2 linked regions of the Diceros bicornis minor genome follow. The protein of the gene in region 1 interacts with the protein of each later gene in a pairwise test. Links are inferred from orthologs where the notes say so. Each region holds a gene or a part of one and is shown on either strand. Other genes may lie near its edges. The genes, in order: VAMP5 and ERGIC3.

Evidence for each region.
Region 2: the proteins of VAMP5 (region 1) and ERGIC3 interact in binary tests that used the Homo sapiens proteins (3 or more experiments, as listed by UniProt). The link is inferred for Diceros bicornis minor from reciprocal best matches to the Homo sapiens genes VAMP5 and ERGIC3.

The regions. Positions count from the first base shown.
Region 1 is NC_080751.1:4,407,472-4,411,381, reverse strand, and holds the start of VAMP5 (vesicle-associated membrane protein 5), read left to right. Parts: upstream 1-1,282; 5' UTR 1,283-3,910. UniProt on the Homo sapiens protein: May participate in trafficking events that are associated with myogenesis, such as myoblast fusion and/or GLUT4 trafficking.
Region 2 is NC_080758.1:24,185,143-24,189,052, reverse strand, and holds the start of ERGIC3 (endoplasmic reticulum-Golgi intermediate compartment protein 3), read left to right. Parts: upstream 1-1,212; 5' UTR 1,213-1,264; coding exon 1,265-1,352; intron 1,353-1,488; coding exon 1,489-1,559; intron 1,560-1,678; coding exon 1,679-1,766; intron 1,767-1,986; coding exon 1,987-2,106; intron 2,107-3,910. UniProt on the Homo sapiens protein: Possible role in transport between endoplasmic reticulum and Golgi. Positively regulates trafficking of the secretory proteins SERPINA1/alpha1-antitrypsin and HP/haptoglobin.

The sequences.
Region 1 (3,910 bases):
TTTTTTGTGAGGAAGATTTGCCCTGAGCTAACATCCAGTGCCAATCCTCCTCTTTTTTGCTGAGGAAGACTGGCTCTGAGCTAACATCTGTGCCCATCTTTCTCTATTTTATATGGGACGTTGCCCCAGCATGGTTTGACAAGTGGTGCATCTATGCATGCCCGGGATCCGAACCTGTGAACCCCAGGCTGCTGAAGCAGAGCGTGCGCACTTAACTGCTGTGCCACCAGGCCAGCCCCTCAGATCTACTCACTGGCTCTGTGACCTTGGACGGGTGGATTTAACCCCTCTGAGCCTCAATTTCTTATAAAACTGGGATAACAGTATTATCCTCAGTGGATTGTTGTGAGGATTAAAGAAAATGAAGCAAACAAACAGCTAGCAGCACAGTGCTTAGGTCAGAGTCTGTGCTGAATGGCGGCTGTTATTATTGTCAAGATAGAGAACCTTATCGACAGCCTGCAGTGCCTGATGAAAATAAACTAGATGCAGATTATCAAAGGCCCGTGTCAAGCTCTGTATTTAGGTTATAAACAATTAGGTGTACAAGTTTGCAATAAGGAAGAGCTTGCTTGGCTGTTATATCTAAGAGGTTTTATTGACCACAAGTATTGTGTAGTTCTTGGGATCTGACTGCTAAAAAAAAAAGCGAGGGAAACGAGCTACATCAATAATAATAGCTGTTATTTATTGAACATTTAGTATGTGTCAGGTATTGTGCTAAGCACTTTATTTATAATATGTCACATGCCTTAGCCAACACTGTGGTATCATTGTCACCACTTTACAGATGAGGAAGTGGAGGGTCAGAAAGGTCATGTCCTCAGTCTTCAGTCACTCAGCTGGTGAGTGGCAGAGGCAGGATTTGAAGGAACCCAAGGCTGCAATGCAGAGCCCTGCTCTTAGTCTCTGAGCTCACGTGAGTGCTGAGCCAGGAAGGAGTTGATACCCCCGTCGCTGCCCAGGGCCGTCTGACTACGATGGCCAGACAGCTGAAATAGAGTGTCTTAGGCACTAACCAAGAGAGAGGGGAGACAGCAGAGTTAGGACAGGGAGGGGTTTGAGAGCTTTGTTTTCAGCATCAAAGGAGGAATATTCTGTGCAGAGGGTAACGGTCTGTCAAGAACATTTCCTGTGTGACTACCACCCTCTGCCTGCCAATGACGCTGCTGCTTGCCCTACCCCCGGCTCAAAAACTCAGGCCCTGCAGGCTCCTGGCAGTGCTGGGAAGTGCCTGTCTTGCCCACCCTTCCTCTCTATGCTCCGTGCCCCCCCCCCCCCCCCCCCCCGCTCGCCTGGCGGACATCTCCTCACACTGTTGCTGACAGCACTTCTCCTCCCCTTCTGGCTGGCCTCTCTGCCCTGAGTTTTCTCACTTGCATCCATGCCAGTCTACCACCAATAGAGAAATTATCCTGAAGCACCTCTTCAGTGTTGCCCTTGGCTCAGAAACCTACACTAGCTCTCTATCCCTCCCTCCAAGTGAGCTTCCTCTCCTTGACTTTTACTGCTTCCTCTGGCCCCATCATGCTCCCACACCGTTATCTTCTGCCTGCTGCATCACTGTCCCGAGCGTGTCTCTGTCTCTCTATGCCGAGAATGCCCCAGTTCCACCTCATCCATCAAGGGCTCACACCCTGTCCATCACAGTTCTCAGGAATCCCCCTCTCTGTGGTAGCTCCAGCTCTCACTATGTGTATCTCACAGTTAACTCTTCACTTTCTCTGATTGTCCCATATATGTCTCTTTCCCCCAACCTATACTGACTTCTTAAGAACAGGCACAATTCACTCAGAAAATATTGTCCACACATCCACTGTGTGCCGGGCACTATGCTGAGTTCACTGTGGCAGGAGGCAGCATGGCCTTTCCCTCTGGTCGCTTACTTCCTTCCACACCCATAATTCTGTATTTCTCACTGTGCCAGCAGAGACCTGTGCGTATAGTGTCCGTTTTCCGCTGGTTGAGTGGGGCCGAGGAGGGCCAGGAACTTGAGCCTGAGGCCTCTGTGTTCCCTGGATCAAATGTGTTTTTAGGCCTGGGCCCATCTTGGCTCCAGACAGGCCTGGCTTTGCAGTGAGGGAAGAGGCTGCAGACTGCAGCAGGAGGCACAGCTAGCTCTCCTGGAGAATGTGACCCAATGTCACCCCATGTTGGAGAATAAGATAACAACAGCTGTAGCATTTAGAGTAGAAAACAATAACATCCAGTGCCCCATCAGTCTTTAGTGGTGATTCTCATTTTCGAATCTTTGTCCATTCTCGGTTTTTGCCTTGGAATATTTGAATGTGGGGGTGCCTTGGACTGTGTGAATGCGAGAAGCTCCAAATAATGGAGCCTTGTTGAATAATATAGTAGTAACAATAGCAGTGATGATGGTTGACTCAGAAAAGGTAGAGATGAGCGCAGCTTCCCTGCTCTCTTCATTAATCTTCCTTGTTCCCCAGTTACTGCTTCCCCTGGCCTGTGAGTTCACCCCTCTGTCATGGTTCGCCTGCCCCCTCTCAAAGCAGGTTGCTTTTCTAGCTCATGGGTAAATATTGACCTACTTGGGTTTCAGATGCCTGCCCCTCGAAACTCCTGCTAGGCTAGATAAACACAAGGGGATAACATCTCTTGAGAATCAGAGCTGCTTTTGGAAAGGCTATAATGCAGTTGAGCCACTCACTGAATCTGTGCAACGGTCACCACTGAGCTGGGCCCCCGGAATGGCGGCAGACAAAGGCAGGGCATTGGCCCCTGCCTTCCCTCTGGGAGCTTGTGGTCCAGTTGGGGAGGTAGGGCTTATATACTGGGAATACTTGGAGGTTGTGCACAAGGCAGCTGCAAGGATCCTGAATGAGGATTGTTGCCTGAGTAGGTGGCCCTCTGTGACCACAAGATCCCTTCCCTTTCTCTGGTTTTAACTGGAATTCAGTCAAGTGCCAAAATACCTGCTGATGACAATAGGCAGTATAGTCTGGCAGGAAAGGGAGGTTGGCCGATGCTCTGTGGGGAGGAGATGAGAACTGGGATGGGCTGTGGGGGACAAGGCTGGGAGGAGGCAGTTACTGTGGTTTGTTAATCCACTGGTATTCATCTCCCTGACATGTCCCTGGACCTGCTTCTGGACCTCCAGCTCTCACTAGGGCCTCCTGCCCTGGGTCTCTTTCAGTTGCATGCGTCTAAAGGCCAGTTCCTTTATTGCTTGTGACCCATGCTTTCTTCCTCTCTCCTGTCCTCTCAACCTCCCCCCGCTTGGACTCTGCACCTCCCTTCCCCGTCCTCTGAAATGAGCTGGGTTCTTTTGTTAGGTGAGGCTGCTGCCTAGGCTGGGAGATCCAGGAGTTGGTCTTGTTTCAGTGAGTTGGACCCCAGTGAAGATCCTGGCTAGCTGAAAGGCTGGAGGCCAGAGGCCAGGAAGGCTGAGGTTCCCAGGCAGATAGAGAATCAACTTCGAGCATTGATGTGGATGTAGAGTTAGGCCATGAGGCAGAACTGGCCTGACCAGTCAGAAGCCCAAAGAGGGAAATCTGCTCTCAGTTTGTGTTTTTGTGTGTCTGTGGGGTTAGGCAGAGGCTATGATGTATGGTGGTCCAAAATTACCTTTCTAGCTCTGTGGAGTGGAGCTCCTCCTTGTCTGGCTTCTAGCCAAGTAGCTTGGTTCCCTGTTCTTTGCTTTCCCTGTTTCTTAGGCCAGTGGGAAGCCATAGGGCAGGTGCACATTGGGTACAGGCCATCCTAGAGCAGGCGGGCAAAGTGTCTGCTTTGTGGGAGGGTGGGGTCCTGGGAATGTCCCATCCTGAGGCACCTTAGAGTAAGCTGAGATGCTTGAAGCCAAGGCTGACCTAGGACCTGCCTTGATGGGCAAGGAGAGGAAGCCTATGAGACCAAGGTGAGCCACACACAGCCAGGAGGCTGGCCTTTCACT
Region 2 (3,910 bases), on another chromosome or scaffold:
TATAAATGTAAATGTTTGTCTGGCAACTCCTCGCAGGGCCATCCAGAGAATGTGGCCAGAGAGACAGAATTTCTGATAAGATGGGCTTGTTGGTGCCTTTCCTATTGTAACATCTATTTTACATTATATTACAGCCATCAGATGGAAGATCTGTTCCAGGAAGGAGCCACCATGTCAAATTCTTTAGGCAGTTAGTGGGGGAGGTCAAATGTCCTTCAGAGAAAACAATCAAGGTAAAGAGATATATTTCAGGGTGGCCAAATTTTGATCTCCCACACAGTTAATGTGAGTTAGTCCTTTCCGTCTTCCTTTCCCTAGCAAACTGCAGCCTGCAGGCAGAAGGGGGACTCCGGCACTGCTCAGCTTCTCTTGAGTCAGACTGCTACAAGGCATCCAGCTCCAGTGTCCCTCCTCCTCTTCCTGGAAGCCTTCTCTAACCTAGCGTGTCAGTCATTTTCTCCTACAGACTCTCACAGTCTCCTGTGCCACCTCTTATCAAAGTTCTGGTCTTCCATCACTGAAATGATTTGAGCCCTGCACCTCCATGGGCCATGCTCACCAGAAGCAATGAGAGGCTGTTTGAGTAAAATCAACCCTAAGGGCGCTGGCTTCCAGAGTACTTTGAGGTCCAGAAGAAATAGGTTGGAATCAGGCCCTGACATTAATTGGCCGTGAAATAGGGCAAGTTACTTGGCTTCTCCAGGCCACAGTTTCTCCTTCAGAAAATGGAGATGAAAGTCACACCTACTTTCCACAGCGATGATTCTCAAACTAACTGCAGGGAATCACCTGGGAGCCACTCCTAAAGTCTCTGATTCAGCGGGTCTGTGGTGGGGCCCGATAACTTGCATTTCTAACCAGTTCCCTGGCGATAAGAAGGCTGCTGGTTGGCGACACTTTGAAAACCATTGTTCTAGGAGGTCCCAAGAGTCTGATGTGAAACTCTTGTCTCAGTTCCAAGCACAAGGCAAGCGAATGCCGCTATTACTGTTTCTACCCCGTCAAGACCTCCTCCGGGCGCCCTGTCGATCCACATAAGACCACCTCACCGCAGGGGTCCGCGGCCGCTGCCAGCGTCTAGACACGACCGCTAAGAGCACCGGTGGGCGGGGACCCCCGAGTGAAAACGCCGGCGGGGGTGGGGCCAAGCGCGCGCATTGATGCGCCTGCGTGCGGACAGAGAGGGGGCGTGGCCCAAGCTCCGGGCCGGAAGCGGGAGGCTGCAGGGGCCGGGCTACTGGCGTTCCTTTTCCGGCTGGTCCCCATGGAGGCTCTGGGGAAGCTGAAGCAGTTCGATGCCTACCCCAAGACTTTGGAGGACTTCCGGGTCAAGACCTGCGGGGGCGCCACCGGTAGGCCGCGGCGGGGTCGGGGTCGTGGGGAGAGGGGTGTCCTAGAACTTGGCCGAGGCGCCTGGACCCTGCCGGCGTGCTGGGGGCTGAGGGAGCTGAACAGAGGCCAGTCTGACCCTCGCTCCCTGCCCTGCAGTGACCATTGTCAGTGGCCTTCTTATGCTGCTACTGTTCCTGTCCGAGCTGCAGTATTATCTCACCACTGAGGTAAGGGGCGGGGGGTAGTACGTGGGCGGGGCTTGGCCTTCTAGGGATAAGAGCTTTAGGGATGGGAGTGGGGAAGGAGACCGTGGGGCCAAAACTTAACTGAGATCGTGCTGCCCCAGGTGCATCCTGAACTCTACGTGGACAAGTCACGGGGAGATAAACTGAAGATCAACATCGATGTATTTTTTCCGCACATGCCTTGTGCCTGTGAGTACCTCACCATGGGTGGGAGTTGCAAGTCTCAGGGTTCTCAGGTGGCCTTCCAGATTCACACCTCCAGCCTTAGGTTCTAGACTGAACGCCAGGACAACTTTCTTCCCCTAATCCACTGTTGCCCCAAGACAGGCCCAGCATCCCCTTACCCTCCGAAACCCAGGTTCCCTTGACCCTAGGATCCCAGTACCTTACCCTGACTTCTTGCTTCCAGATCTGAGCATCGATGCCATGGATGTGGCTGGGGAACAGCAGCTGGATGTGGAACACAACCTGTTCAAGCAACGGCTAGATAAGGATGGCGTCCCAGTGAGCTCAGAGGCTGAGCGTCATGGTAAGTGAAGGGAGGGGGCCAGATCTCAGATCCCAGAGCTGAACATGCCCAAGCCTTACCTTCTGGCAAGTGGGCTGTGGCCAGCCCAGTGACAGATGAAGCAATTAAGACCCAAAGAAGTCAAGTAGCTTGCCTAGGGTCCCCCAACTATTATGAATCAGAGTGGGCTGAAATCCAGTCTTCTAGCCTCTATACATTGAGTAGAGTACTCTACCTGTTCTCAGAGGTCCCCTATCCCTTCCTGTCATGGTTTGAGTAACAGAAGTTTGAGGATGTGTCCTATGTGCTGTTCCCTTGGCAGAACTCCTCTAGATGGACCCAAGCCTCTCTGGGTGTTTGTTTCCTCATCCCATTGGCTGAATTCAGCCCTTAATGCTCTTTCCCTTTGGAACGCAGAGTGGCTTAAGGTTAAGAGTTTACATTTTTGTGTTAGATTGCCTGAGTTCAGATGTAGCTTTGTCTCTTGCAGTCTGTGACCTCAGCTATAAAGTGATGATAAACAGTAGTACTCACCACATGGAATTGTAGGATCAAATGAAGTAATATGTGTACAATGCTTGGTGCAGAGTGGCTGTTCACTTTTAGCTTCCTTTCCTCTCTCTAGGTGGCCTCCCAAGGCCTCCATTAATTCAGTTTCCCACCATAACAAAACCCTTCTCAAAGTTGTGATTTTTCACACCTTAGGGATTGCTCTATTGCTGAGCTTTATCATTCATTCGTTCAACAGATATATGTTGACCCCCAGTAGAACCAATAGAATTTGCTGTAGAATTGGATGTAGGGTGTAAGAGAGCAGAGTCAAGGTTGATTCCAAGGCTTTAGACCTGAGCAAATGAATGAATTGAGATAGGGATGACCAGAGAAGAGGAAGAGGATTTTTGTGTGAGAGAGGTGGGGAGATATTATATATCCACTATCATTTAACAAATTACCCCCAAAAGTTAGTGGCTTAATACAACAAACATTTGTTTTTTCAGTTTCTGTGGGTCAGGAATTCAGGAGTGGGTTGGTTGGGTGGTTCTGGCCTAGTGTCTTTCATGAAATTGTAGTCAAGCTGTTGACTGGGGCTGCAGTGATATGAAGGCTGGACTGGGGCTGGAGGATCTGCTTCTAAGAGGGCTCACACATATGACTGTTGGCAAGATGCCTCAGTGCTGTCACCACACGGGCCTCTTAATAGGGCTGCTTGAGTGTCCTCACAGCATGGCAGCTGGCTTCCCCCTGTGCAAGTGATCCAGAAGAGAGTAAGGTGGAAACCACAACTTCTTTTATGACCTAGCCTCAGAAGTTGCACACTATCATTTCTACAATCTACCAGTGGTTATACAGATCAGCTCTATTCATTATGGAAGGGGGGCCTACATAAGGATGTGAATACCAGGAGGTGGGGATCATTGGGGACATCTTAGAGACTGGTCTCATAGGGGAGGACAGGATTTGGGGGCAGATTTCAGGTTTGAGACATATTAAATTTAGGATGCCCATTTGATATCCTAATAATGTTAAGGAGACAGATGTACCAGTCTCGACTTTAGAGAAGGGCTGAAGAAATAAATGTAGGAGTTATCAGCATGTGGATAGTATTCAAAGCTATTGGACTAAATGAGAAAACCTAGGGAGTGAATATAGATAGAGGAGAGGTCTAGGGACTATACCGTGGGCCCCTCCAATATTTAGAAGTCAGGAAATGAGGTTCCAGGAAGGAAGATTGAGAGGGATTAACCATTAAGGTAGAAGAAAACCAAGAGATGTCCCAAAAGCCAAGTGGAGGAAAATTTTCAAGAAGAGATAGTGAGCAGCTGTG